3 linked regions of the Oryctolagus cuniculus genome follow. The protein of the gene in region 1 interacts with the protein of each later gene in a biochemical or structural test. Links are inferred from orthologs where the notes say so. Each region holds a gene or a part of one and is shown in the gene's direction. Other genes may lie near its edges.

Region 1 (4,384 bases):
CAGAAGGGACTGGGTAAGGGGTTGGGGAGGGTAGGAAGGCAGAGACCCTAGGAATGCACCTGGTCAGTTCCGCACAGAGCAAGTGATTGACAGTTCAGAAAGCAAGCAAAGCCAAGGAAATCTGAGGAAGCACGTAAAAATATATCCCTCACACAAGTCAGAAACTCCTAAAGATAAAGCAAAATGCAGGCACTAAGTAAGTTACGATCAAAACCATTATTACTAGGAACTGTACATGATTGGATGAATTTAAAAGAAGGGAATCCCTGTGTGATGGGGGAGGTCATAGTTGCATGCTTTCAGAGTAATGGAAATGTCCATGGGAAAAGCAGGTTGTGGACACATTAGGAAGTGGAATTTCAGGCTAAGAGACTGTAGATAGCTGGGTGATAACCTCAAGTTCCTGAACCCAGTTAAAACAAAAGTGCTGGGGCTGGTGGGTGATGCTCTCTACCTGCCACACTGTGAACCAGCATCTCATACATGGGGACCAGTTCCATTCCTGGCTGCTCCACTTCTGCCAGCCCTCTGCTAATGTGCTGGGGAAAGCAGCGGAAGTGCACCCATGGGGGAGACCCGAATAAAGCTCCTGGTTCCTGGCTCAGCGTCTGCCTGGCCCAGTCCTGGCTGTTGGGGCCATTTGGGGAGTGCCTCCTTTCTCTAGGTAACTCTGCCTTTCAAATAAGTAAGTAAATCTTTATTTTTTTTTAAAGAGTTTTATTTATTTCAGAGGTAGTTACAGTGAGAGGGTGACAGAAAGGTCTTCTGTCCGCTGGTTCACTCCCCAAATGCCTGCAACGGCAGGAGCTGCACTGATGCGAAGCCAGGAGCCAGAAGCTTCTTCCTGGTCTCCCACGCGGGTGCAGGGGCCCAAGGACTTGGGCCATCCTCCACTGCTTTCCCAGACCATAGCAGAGAGCTGGATGGAAGCGGAGCATCCGGGACTTGAACTGCGTCCATATGGGATGCCGGCGCCACAGGGCGGAGGCTTAACTTACTATGCCACGGGACCAGCCCCGAAATTTTGTTTCTTGACAATAACTTTGGCAAGCAACCCTTAGATCACTCATTAATAGAAACAAAAAGGTACTCTTGTACTGCGGGCAGAATTATAAAAATTAATGTTCGAGTCTTTAATTCGTTCTGAGGCTTCACGTTTCTGTCCACACGCCAGTCTTGAGGCACTCAAGGATATCTGCAGCCTCTGGGGGCAGAAAGCCAAGGAAAGATCTGGATCTACCGCAGCAGAACCGCGGGAACGGGGACGGCGGGAATGGGTGGGGCCTTCTCCTGGGAAGGCGGGGCAGGCCGGGATTGGGCGGCGCCAGCGCGCGCGCGCGCGGCGGCCTCGGAAGTCCCGCCTCGCCGAATGTTCGCTGTTGTGTTTCTGGACGGTTCGGCGGATCGGAAGTGCCATTTTGGCGGCAGTTGTGACGTCACTGGTCTGTGTACGGTTGCTACGGGACCCCGCCACGAGTAGCCCGAAGAGAGGGGCGGAGCGCGGAATCCTAGGAATCTGCGCGGGACACCCAAAGGCTCGAACTGGGGGCTCGCGGCGGCCCTCACGGCCCCGGGAAGACGGGGGCCCTGCGCGGAGCTCGACGTCCGGCGGAAGCAGTGCTCTTCCCGGATCCCGCAGCGGCCCCGGCACTGGGGGCCCCGGAGCCAAGAGGCGCATCCCGCCGAGGTAAAGCGGAAGCAGAGGACGCGGGCCCACTCCACGCCGCGCCGGGCGCCCGCACGCCCGCACGCCCGACGCCGCGCGCCGCCGCGGCCGCGCTGTTCAACTGCCGCGTCAGACGGAAATGTTCGTGTGTTCTCTTGGGGCATGTTCGTCTTCCCGGGTATTGCTCTTTACCCGCGCCTCGGAGCGCCTGCCTGCTCCCAGACGTGTTGGATGCTCCCCGTCTCTGAATTTTTGGCACGCTGCTGAGCTTCGTATGTAAACGCGAAACTTAAATTGGTGCCCGGTGGTTGACCGAAAATACGATCCTTTTTTTTTTTTTTTTTTTTTTTTTCTGGCAGGTGTTCATGTTGACTAGGCCTTGTTAGCAATACTAAAATGGCTGTGCCCCAAGACAACATCCCTTCCCTGTCGGAGTGCCGGTGCGGGATCTGCGTGGACATCCTGATCGAGCCGGTGACCCTCCCTTGCAACCACACGCTCTGTAATCCATGCTTCCAGTCCACTGTCGAAAAGGCGAATTTATGCTGTCCCTTCTGTCGCCGCCGGGTCTCCTCGTGGGCTCGCTACCATACCCGAAGAAAGACTCTTGTCAATATGAAACTGTGGGAGATGATTCAGAAACACTACCCGAGGGAATGCAAGCTCAGAGCTTCGGGGCAAGAATCCGGGGATCTCGGTGAGTGAAGCCCAGCGTGTTGAAGACGCAGGAGTGTGTGTTCAAGTTACTCTTGGAGGCTTTGCGTTTCATGGGCTCCAGAATGTCACAGTCATGGGCATGATTGTGGCTGTTGTTACAGTGCCCGAGCTTGTGCCTAAATATTGAGGGGAGCAGTGGTGGAAGTGCGCAGAGGGAACCGCTGATTCCTGTGTTAGTATTCTTATTACATTCACTTTGTCTGTCTCTTGACTGCCTCGTCTGTACGTCCCCATCATTTCTTTTACTATTCTTTTTAGCATGCAACGACCTAAAATAGCTCTGTGTTACCTGTTCCGTCCATTTCGGTCATTTTGAGTGTGAGCTTGGGAGCCCCACGCTGCACCCCTGACTCTGCTTGTCTCTGCTCCTGTGGGCAGTGAGCCATGTCGTGTTTCCTGTCTAAGCTTTGGATGTGCTGTTCTGCTCTGGTGTGCCTACCCTTTGATTGTTTTATTGTAGTTTAAACAGATAACAGAATTTGCTATTTTTAAACAATACTCACTTTCTTAAAAAACGGTTTTCCTGGCATATTTCACATACCGTTCACCCATTTAAAGTGTGTAATGTGATGGGGTTTTGGTATGCTGCATTATTAATTTATTTAAAAGTTGTAAAATATATGCAACAAATTTTGCCATTTTAAGTGTACAGTTCAATGGCATTAATTATATTCACAATGTATTATCTGGTTTTAAAATTTTCATTACTACAAGTAAACCCTTTCACCATTAATTAATGAGTTCTTCCCCAAGATCTAAGTTACCCTTATTCTAGTTTCTGTCTCTGAATTTGCATATTCTAGATATTTCATATTAGTGCAATCATGCAATATCTTCTGTGTCTGGCTTATTTCACTTAGCATAGCATGTCTGAAGTGCATGCACACTGTAGCATTTATCAGTTACTTCATTTTTGATTAATATTTTTCTGATATATGCTACATTTTGTTTATCTGTTCATTCATTGGTGGACATTTGGAATTTTTCTACCTTTTAGATATTAGAATGCTACTGATACGAACATTTGGTACAAATATTCGTTTGAATATTTGTTTTCAGTTTTTTAGTGTCTACAGTCATACCTCTGCATCCAAGGGGTTCTACTTTTAGTATCTTGAGGATGCTAAAATTCGTGGATGCTTAAGTCTCTTGTATAAAGTGGCAGTGTATTTGCATATATAATCCATATACATGCTTCGACATACTTTAAATCATCTCTAGATTATATTTAATACCTAATATAATATAAACACTATACCAATAGTTGTATTGCTCAGGGAATATTGATAAGAAAAAGTCTGTACATTATTTTTTCTTGAATGTTTTCAATGATTGATCCCATGGATGCAGAGCTTGCAGCTACAGAGGCTGCCTGTAAGCTAGGTGTGGCATTGCTGGATCGTACAGTAATTCTATAGTTAGCTTTTGGAGAAGTGCCAGCGTTTTTGACAGTGGCTATGCTGTTGTACATTCCCACTGACTATGTGCAGGATGTCCAGTTTCTTTACATCCTCACCAGTACTTGTTATTTTCCATGTTGGTGTTGTTTTTTAATAGCCATCCTGGTAAATGTGAGGAGGTATCTTACTATGTGTTTTCTAGAATTATGATAAACATAACAGAATTTACCATTTTTAATTATATAGGTCAGTGGCATTACATACATTCACACTCGGTGCGTTCATTGGTACCATCCAGCTCCAGAGTTTTTAATCTTCCCAAACTGAAACCCCACTTTCAGTAAACATTAACTCCTCATTTCCCCTAGCACCCATCATTCTACTTCCTGTCTTTATGACATAATTTCACTGTTCTCAGTTCTTTATCTAAGTGGAATTATGATACATATTTGTCCATTTATTTCTGGCTTATTTCACTTAGCATGTCTTCAGTGTTTATCCATGTGTAGTATATGACAAGATTGCCTTGCTTATCTATTTTTTTTATTTTAAAGGCATTGTGACAGAGATCTTACCTCTGCTGGTTCACTCCCCAACTAGC
Region 2 (3,550 bases), on another chromosome or scaffold:
ACTTCCGAGCACACACTAGTAAGCAGAGCCAGAAACAGGCATCTGGCCTTTTCCCTCCCCAGTCAGAGCTCTTCCTATTAATGAACACAGGGAAGAGCCTTCTCCGAGTAGTGGCCCAGTCACATGAAGCTGTCTTCCCCCTGCAGACTCAATACCAAGACAGGCAAACTGGAGATGAGCTATTCCAAGTTCAAGACCAAGAGCCTCTCTTTCTTGGGCACCTTTATTTTAAAGGTAACAAGGTAACAAGGAGGTAAGGCCCTAGGCCGCCATCCTGAACTTGGGGATCCGGGAGCCTAGACCTGCATCAGATCCCAGGGGAGCTCGGAGGCATTAAGCAGACTCCTGTTCCCGGACCACACATAGGAGCTGCGGTTCTCCCTCTGGTCCCCGCAGGTAGCAGAGAGGCTCCGGCTGGTGGCGGTGCGCCAGAGCGAGAGCGAGGACGGCCACTTCACCGAGTGTAACAACTTGACCCTCATCAACCTGCTGCTTAAGGTCTGCGGGCCCATCCATGAGCGGAACCTCACCTTGCTCCTGCTGCTGCTGCAGGTGAGGTCGGGCATGGGGATGGCGTTTGTACTTCCTTGTGGCTCTTTCTCGACGGACCTCACGCCAGTCCATTTCTCTTGCAGGTCGTGGGCAGCGCTCTCACCTTCTCCATCCGATACCAGCTTGTCCGGCTCTTCTATGATGTCTGAGTGCCCTGGGTGTTGGCCCTCACCTCAGAGTCTCCAGGGGTCCTGCCCTGACCCCTGTCTGGACCAAGGCTGCTTCCCCTTCCCCTGTGATCATGGACATCCGGGGCCTTTCTTGCCCTCTGGCGAAGGCCACTGAGACTTCACCTGTGGCTCCCCACCTCAGCTGGCCGCTCTCCCGCCCTCGCATCTCTGGGCTGCAGCGGATTTTGGACGGTTACCCACAACTCGACTCTCAGGGTCCTGCAGCTCAAGGGATGTGCTGGGCCTTGGGGCAGAACCTGGGCTAGGGAAGGGACACGGGCTGGAAGGGGGCTTGACTCTCGACTCTAAATGAAGTATTCTGATTAGTAAAGGCAGACGGGGCACCCGACGCTCCCGTCAGTGACAATAAAGGGTCTTTTTTCTTGTTTCTGTACGTATATTTCCTATGGGGGCATTTTAGGAAAACAGGGAAGGGCGCGGGGAGAGGACCTCCAAGCGGAGGCCTGTGCCTGTGGCTGCTCTTTCAGACCCTTCCCAGCGAGAACACAACTGAGACCTGACAGGAAAGCTCCCGGCGGCACAGGGGGCCTTAAGGTGGGAGTGGCCTGTCTTCCGACGTGGGATCGTCCCTTTTTGCACTCTCCTTCGGCCTATTCGGAGGGGGCGGGAGTAGGGCGCCCCCAGACTTAGATGGGAAAGCTGAGGTAGCAGAATCTAGTCCTTTCCTTTAAAAACCCCAGGCCAGCACGGGGTCTGGCTCCACCCCTTTCGTCTTCCGGTTCTAGTCTCCGCCTGCCACGTTTAAATCTCGCGCGCTTTGCGCGGATTGGCCGCGTCCGGAGTGGCTGCCTGTCAGCCGGCCCGCACGCTTCCTCACCTTCTTACCCGGGCAAAAGGTTTTCAAATTCGACCAATCGGCGGGCGCGCTCCCTCAGCCGAGGCGCGTCCCCGAAGGGTTAACCTCAGCCAACCGGAGGCGGGTACTAGAAAAAAGAGCCAATCAGGAGAGCGCAGGGGGTGTGCCCTAGGGGCATATAAGGGCGGCCCCGCCGCGCGCGCGCCGGCAGTTGGACTGCGGCGGTTGGCTGTTGGGGGCTTCCGTCCGGGCGTCGCTTCGTGCCGTTCTACCTCGCGCACCATGTCCGGCCGCGGCAAGACCGGCGGCAAGGCCCGCGCCAAGGCCAAGTCGCGCTCTTCGCGCGCCGGCCTGCAGTTCCCGGTGGGCCGCGTGCACCGGCTGCTGCGGAAGGGCCACTACGCCGAGCGCGTGGGCGCCGGCGCCCCGGTGTACCTGGCGGCCGTGCTCGAGTACCTGACGGCCGAGATCCTGGAGCTGGCGGGCAACGCGGCGCGCGACAACAAGAAGACGCGCATCATCCCCCGCCACCTGCAGCTGGCCATCCGCAACGACGAGGAGCTCAACAAGCTGCTGGGCGGCGTGACGATCGCCCAGGGAGGCGTCCTGCCCAACATCCAGGCCGTGCTGCTGCCCAAGAAGACCAGCGCCACCGTGGGGCCGAAGGCGCCTTCGGGCGGCAAGAAGGCCACGCAGGCCTCGCAGGAGTACTGAGGGGCCCGCGCCGCGGCCGCCCGCCCCGCGCCACCACAAAGGCCCTTTTAAGGGCCACCACCGCTCTCACGGAAAGAGCTGAGCCACGGCCGCTGCCCCTCCCCCGCGCCGCGCACCTGCACGCGCCTCGGGCCGGGCTCGTGACTCAGCCGCCCCACGCTGCGGGGCTGCGGGGCGGCCGCGGCGCCTGCGGAAGACGGCCTGCGGGGCCGAGCGGGCAGCCCTGAAGGTGAGGCCCTCGGCGGCCGCAGCCCAGGACTGGGACACCCGTCTGCGGCTTCCAGGCCTCGGCGGGAGACGCGCTGCCCCTCTCGTCGTTGGCGGCCGCACAGCCCGGCTCCGTTCGCCCCGGCGGGGCGGGGGACTGCCCGGAGGACTGCCGGGCGGCGGCGGCGCGGCCCGCGCGCTCAGACCAGCCCCGTCCGGACGGCCTCCGGTGGCTTGATTGGGACTTTGCAGCTAACTCGTCGGAGAACCAGAGACTGGGAGTTTCGGATGGACTCATTTTGTTTATTAAAGGATTTGGTTTTTTAAATGAAGCGCTTCCGTGTACTTGCCTGAGGGGGCGGGGCGGGGGTTCAGCTAACGGGAAAGGCTGTGCCGGGACCGGGTGAGGCAGGAGCCGGGGGGCTCTAAGGTGTGTGGGGGGCTCTCCGCGGTATCCGGGGACCGTGTCGGGCAGAACTACTGCGGCAGGAACGCGGTGTTCCAGAATTCGGGGGGAAGGGTCAAAGGGGTTTGTGCCTGTTTGCGTCTCCACCGACCGCACCACGAGACAACCGGAGAGCCGCCCTCAGCTGGTTTATTCCCGGGGCTGGTTACATTCAAAGGCTGTGGCTTGCATTGTGTTCTCTAGAGATGAGGCCCCCACGCAGCAGGAGGCAAGGCCCCTAGGTGAGGCGAGTCCCCGGCGGTCAGGGACCCCGCAGTTCCTCCTGGAGTGACCACTTCCCAGTGAGAACAGGGCACTCGGCCGACGTCCTCCCCGGGGAGCGGCAGCCCAGGCAGGCACCTGTGCCCACGGCCGCTTAGTGGGCGTCATTCAGCTGGCGTGCAACGTCCAAAATGTTCTTGGCTCCTTTGTTCAGTAACAGATTGGCCAGGCTGATGCCCAGGTTCTCAGCGGCCAACTGGGGTCCTCGTGGAATGTTCCGGGCAGTAATGCCTACCAGCTGGGGGTCATCCTCCGGGCCATCTTCATGCTGGACAGAAGGGAGTGGGACTTAGTGGGGACAGGGAAGTCGCACTGCTCACTCCTCCCTCTCACCCTCTGGCTTTGTACCTGGGCAGGGACCTG
Region 3 (4,384 bases), on another chromosome or scaffold:
AAACTGATATTGTCCTGTTCACTACAGAAAAAGGAAAACTACTGAGTGGATGAAACCCATCTTGGATTGTAGTTTGGTTGGCTTGGTTGTGTATGCTTTGGGCGGGCTTCTGGTTTGCTGTTTCCACATCAAAGGAATTGAGTGTACAGAACAGGAAGAACAATTGAGTAATAAACATACTTTATTTCTTTGTTCTCCAGTGGCTAGTGTAGAAGATAACAGGAGTTACTGAGTGCTTACTGTGTGTCCACTACTATCCTCTACAGTGTATACCTTCTTTAATCTTGCAACCAGGTTGTGAAAATAGGTGGCATATAACCTTTCCACAGAAGAACCTGAAGCCCCCAAAGCTTGGTCGCCCAGATGACACAGTGAGGAGGCCGCAGAGCAGAAGAATTCACGTCTGCCTGCCCCGAATCCATTCATTCTCTCAAACACGATCCAAAGAGGCAACAGAGATTTCTCTTCAGTTGGGCTTCATCCCAGAGAGAGTATTATCTAAATCGGAGAAGGCATTAATATTGGTTTCTGAGTGAAGCCTCACTGGCGACAAGGTTAACTATTACATTGAGTTTCACAGCTTTTTATCGCCATCTTATCAATTTAGTTGGAGATCTGATGAACTCTTGCTATTGATGACATCACAAGGACTCCTCAGTTCCAAGGAGAATAATGAAAAGATAGACTAGAATTTATATCCCAGAAACAGGAATGTCCTTTGATCCCCCCCCCAAAAAAAAACAAAAAACTTTCAAATTGAAACCTTGAAACCTAAAGTTAGAATGTATGTTTCAAATACTTCAAGTTGCAACTGTTCAGTTGTTGAACATGTAACATTATATTCCCAAACAGCTGGAGATGTGCACAGGTGTTATTAATCTATTAGTTGGAAGACTAAGTAGCTGGCATTATTATAGCACTGTGTGTACAGTACTATTTTTTAAGCCCACCATTTGCAATTGATTACATGGACCATCTGTAACTGCCTGTGAATCACGTTAGTTACCCCACTGACATTTACCGAACATTTGTCACGCAGCGAAATATTTAGTGTAGAAAAGTTGACACATAATAGCTCTGAGATTTCACTAAATCAACTCTAGACACCGGCCTGTGGGTACAACCCACCGACCTGTAGACACCAGAAAAATACGGTTTGACTAAAGAAATACCAGCTCACGCCAAGCTCCCCACGCGTGAACAAAAAGGTCTTTTGTGCCCAGCGAGGTAACTCGGCTCCGCCGACTGTTGTCACAGAACCACCTCGTGTGTGTGCGTGCGTGTGTGCGGGGGTGTCTTCATAAAGTGGTGGGGGAAAGAGGAGGAGAGGACTCCGCTGAAATTCAAGTGGGATCCGCCGGCGGCTGGGAACCAGCTCAGAGGGAGGAAACGGCCGAGTCCTGGCCGACCCGGTCGCGCCACCTGTCAGACGAGCGCAGCCGCCAGGGGCTGGGAGGGCGGCAGGCGAATGGGTGCCCGGGGCCCCGGAAGAAGGCTGCAGGGGAGCCGATTCCGGGCGGCGAGAACCCAGGCGGTGCTGTTAGGGGTGGGGGCCGCGCTAGACCCCGAGGAGACTTCACGTGGCCTCTGCAATCCCGCTAAGGGACCGGCGGGGGGCGCTGTCCCACGCCCCTCCCCTGAGCCTCTCAGCTCCTCCTCCCAGACACGTGACTGAGCCTGCTGGTTTCTTCGCTCGCGCTGCGCACCTCGTTCTGTTTCTTCCCTCCCGCTGCTATGCCCTTCTTCTCCCCCGTTCCCATCCCTCCGCCCTCCCCCACCTCCTCCCCACGCGCCAACCGCGGCTCGAGCTTGGAAGCGCCCGCCTCTCCGCCCTGTTCTTCGTTTTCTCATTGGCTGAGGCCTCAAGGACGCGTCCCGAGGGCGGGCGGCAGCCATTGGTGGGATGAGCAATCCGAGTTCCCGGATGAGGGAACATTCTGCAGTATAAAGGCAGCGGGGAAGGCGGGAGACAGCGCAGTTTGAATCGCGGTGCGACGGAGGAGTAGGTGGTGGGATCGCGCTGTGTGTCAGACTAGCCCTTTCTCTGCCTTGCTTGTTTGAGCTTCCGCAGAATTCGAAATGGTAAAGTTCGCAGGGGCGCTCGGTAACTCCGCGGGATTTTGCCGGCGGGAGAGAAACCCGCTACCCACGGGGATGAGGGTGAAGTGGCGACGGTTGGGGACGTGCGGAGACGGGATTTACACGAGCGGGGGGGAGGTGGCGTGTCGGCTGCGAGCGGAGCAGCCTCGGCTGTCGCGGCGGGCGGCGACGGTTGGGTGGCGCGCGCGGCGCCTCTGGGGGCCGGCGGGCGGGCGGGCGGAGGCGCGCGGCCGCGGCGGGCGCGCGGCGGGGGCCGGCGGGCGGGGTCGCCCCTGCGGCGCGTGGCGGGCCGGAGACCCCGGCGGGGCGCGGGGACGCGCCGCGGTGGGGGAGGGGCGCGCCGCCCTGGTAATTCTATATTCTCCGATCCTCCTCCGCTCGCGGGCGTGTGCGCGCCGCAGGCTGGCGGTAAGGCTGGGAAGGACTCCGGAAAGGCCAAGACAAAGGCGGTTTCCCGCTCGCAGAGAGCCGGCTTGCAGGTCAGTAGTTGTTCGTGCAGTCTGCGAACCGTGGCGTTTTTCTTTGCACACCCCCTCCCACCCCCCTTTCTTGTTTATCATCGCCCTAGATGGGCGTTTCGTCTTCGCGTTGGGGATGCGGTGTCGCGACTTGGGGGCTGCCCACACGATAAATAAGGTTGGGGGGGGCGGCGATCACGTGTGTGGATGCTAGGGTGCCTGGCTGCACCAGCGTCCGGGCCCCTTGCGTTGGCGCGCGTGCGATCCCGCCAGCCCTGGCTCCCTGTCTTTATGCGTTTCTTGTTTGTGTGTGCTTAAGTTCCCGGTGGGCCGCATTCACCGACACCTGAAATCTAGGACGACCAGCCACGGACGTGTGGGCGCGACTGCCGCCGTGTACAGCGCTGCCATCCTGGAGTACCTCACCGCAGAGGTAACTGAGCGGACGCCTATCATCGAGGCAGGGCTGGGGGGGGGGGCGGGGGAGGCGGCCGGAGGGAAGGAGGAAAGTGATGCAAGAAGACTCCAGGCCCGAGACGCGGCGAGAAGCCCGGGAGGACGCTAGAGGGAGCCGGTGTCCAGGAAGGGAGCCTCCTGAGCCGGAGGAGTTGGCTGCTCCTGGCAGTAATTGCGTGTCCCCTGGATAGGGGGGAACACCTGGCAGATTCCTGTTCCTTAAGCTTTGATTCTGCCCTTGCACCTTGGTCAAAGGCGATTGATGAGCGTCTGCCTTGTAGGTACTTGAACTGGCAGGAAATGCATCAAAAGATTTAAAGGTAAAGCGCATTACCCCTCGTCATTTGCAACTTGCTATTCGTGGAGATGAAGAATTGGACTCGCTCATCAAGGCTACAATTGCTGGTGGTGGTATGTAATAAAGTTGGTTTTCTTCCTTATTCGGAGGACAGAAACCCTTGGCTTCTAACTCCTATTAGATTTTAGTCTAGCAGAGGGCATTTGAGAATGTTTTCATTGATGCAGTATGGCTGGGTCATGAAATTTGGTTTATGTAAACAACTCAATGGGTTTTTGGTATTTTGAGCTTCACATTTTTTTGAAAGATCTTGCACGTTGAAGCGTAAAATGCCTTGGTTTCAAAGTACTGTGTGGTTTTGAAAGTACTTACATTAAAAGTAGAATTTATCTGTCACTCTCCTAGGTGTCATTCCACACATCCACAAGTCTCTGATTGGGAAGAAAGGACAACAGAAGACTGTCTAAAGGATGCCTGGATTCCTTGTTATCTCAGGACTCTAAATACTCTAACAACTGTCCAGTGTTGGTGATTCCAGTGGACTGTATCTCTGTGAAAAACACAATTTTGCCTTTTTGTAATTCTATTTGAGCAAGTTGGAAGTTTAATTAGCTTTCCAACCAACCAAATTTCTGCATTCAAGTCTTAACCATATTTAAGTGTTACTGTGGCTTCAAAGAAGCTATTGATTCTGAAGTAGTGGGTTTTGATTGAGTTGACTGTTTTTAAAAAACTGTTTGGATTTTAATTGTGATGCAGAAGTTATAGTAACAAACATTTGGTTTTGTACAGACATTATTTCCACTTAGGTGGATAAGCTCAATAAAGGTCATCTCCCAAACTAGTTGTGTTTTAAATTTGCTTGCTTGTAATGGAAACTTGTTTTGACTGTGGTCCAGCAGTAACTAGGCACATTTCTTCTGTAGAAATTAAACTGTTAACCTGTAGATCGACAAAGGTCAGATACCGGGTACAAGGTAGTGTTACACCATAATGTGCTATGAATTTCTCAGAAGTTCTGCAGGAGCTGGAGATGGTTAGGGTTTCCTGGGACCAGGGACCAAGTGAGCTG

Evidence for each region. The genes of interacting proteins can lie anywhere in the genome.
Region 2: of the proteins of RNF168 (region 1) and H2AX, one has a biochemical effect on the other in vitro, tested with the Homo sapiens proteins (2 studies listed by BioGRID). The link is inferred for Oryctolagus cuniculus from reciprocal best matches to the Homo sapiens genes RNF168 and H2AX.
Region 3: of the proteins of RNF168 (region 1) and H2AZ1, one has a biochemical effect on the other in vitro, tested with the Homo sapiens proteins (3 studies listed by BioGRID, with this or other methods). The link is inferred for Oryctolagus cuniculus from reciprocal best matches to the Homo sapiens genes RNF168 and H2AZ1.

Annotation. Positions count from the first base shown.
Region 1 is NC_091435.1:83,027,925-83,032,308, reverse strand, and holds the start of RNF168 (E3 ubiquitin-protein ligase RNF168), read left to right. Parts: upstream 1-1,502; 5' UTR 1,503-1,687; intron 1,688-1,815; exon of another isoform or gene 1,816-1,938; intron 1,939-2,025; 5' UTR 2,026-2,062; coding exon 2,063-2,363; intron 2,364-4,384. UniProt on the Homo sapiens protein: E3 ubiquitin-protein ligase required for accumulation of repair proteins to sites of DNA damage. Acts with UBE2N/UBC13 to amplify the RNF8-dependent histone ubiquitination.
Region 2 is NC_091432.1:111,203,793-111,207,342, forward strand, and holds H2AX (histone H2AX), read left to right. Parts: upstream 1-1,733; 5' UTR 1,734-1,821; coding exon 1,822-2,253; 3' UTR 2,254-2,788; downstream 2,789-3,550. Other genes in the region: DPAGT1 (UDP-N-acetylglucosamine--dolichyl-phosphate N-acetylglucosaminephosphotransferase), read left to right, coding at 147-234, 397-552, 636-701; HMBS (porphobilinogen deaminase), read right to left, coding at 3,282-3,455, 3,536-3,550. UniProt on the Homo sapiens protein: Variant histone H2A which replaces conventional H2A in a subset of nucleosomes. Nucleosomes wrap and compact DNA into chromatin, limiting DNA accessibility to the cellular machineries which require DNA as a template.
Region 3 is NC_091439.1:65,412,786-65,417,169, forward strand, and holds H2AZ1 (histone H2A.Z), read left to right. Parts: upstream 1-1,661; 5' UTR 1,662-2,079; coding exon 2,080-2,082; intron 2,083-2,501; coding exon 2,502-2,579; intron 2,580-2,877; coding exon 2,878-2,991; intron 2,992-3,295; coding exon 3,296-3,425; intron 3,426-3,717; coding exon 3,718-3,779; 3' UTR 3,780-4,153; downstream 4,154-4,384. UniProt on the Homo sapiens protein: Variant histone H2A which replaces conventional H2A in a subset of nucleosomes. Nucleosomes wrap and compact DNA into chromatin, limiting DNA accessibility to the cellular machineries which require DNA as a template.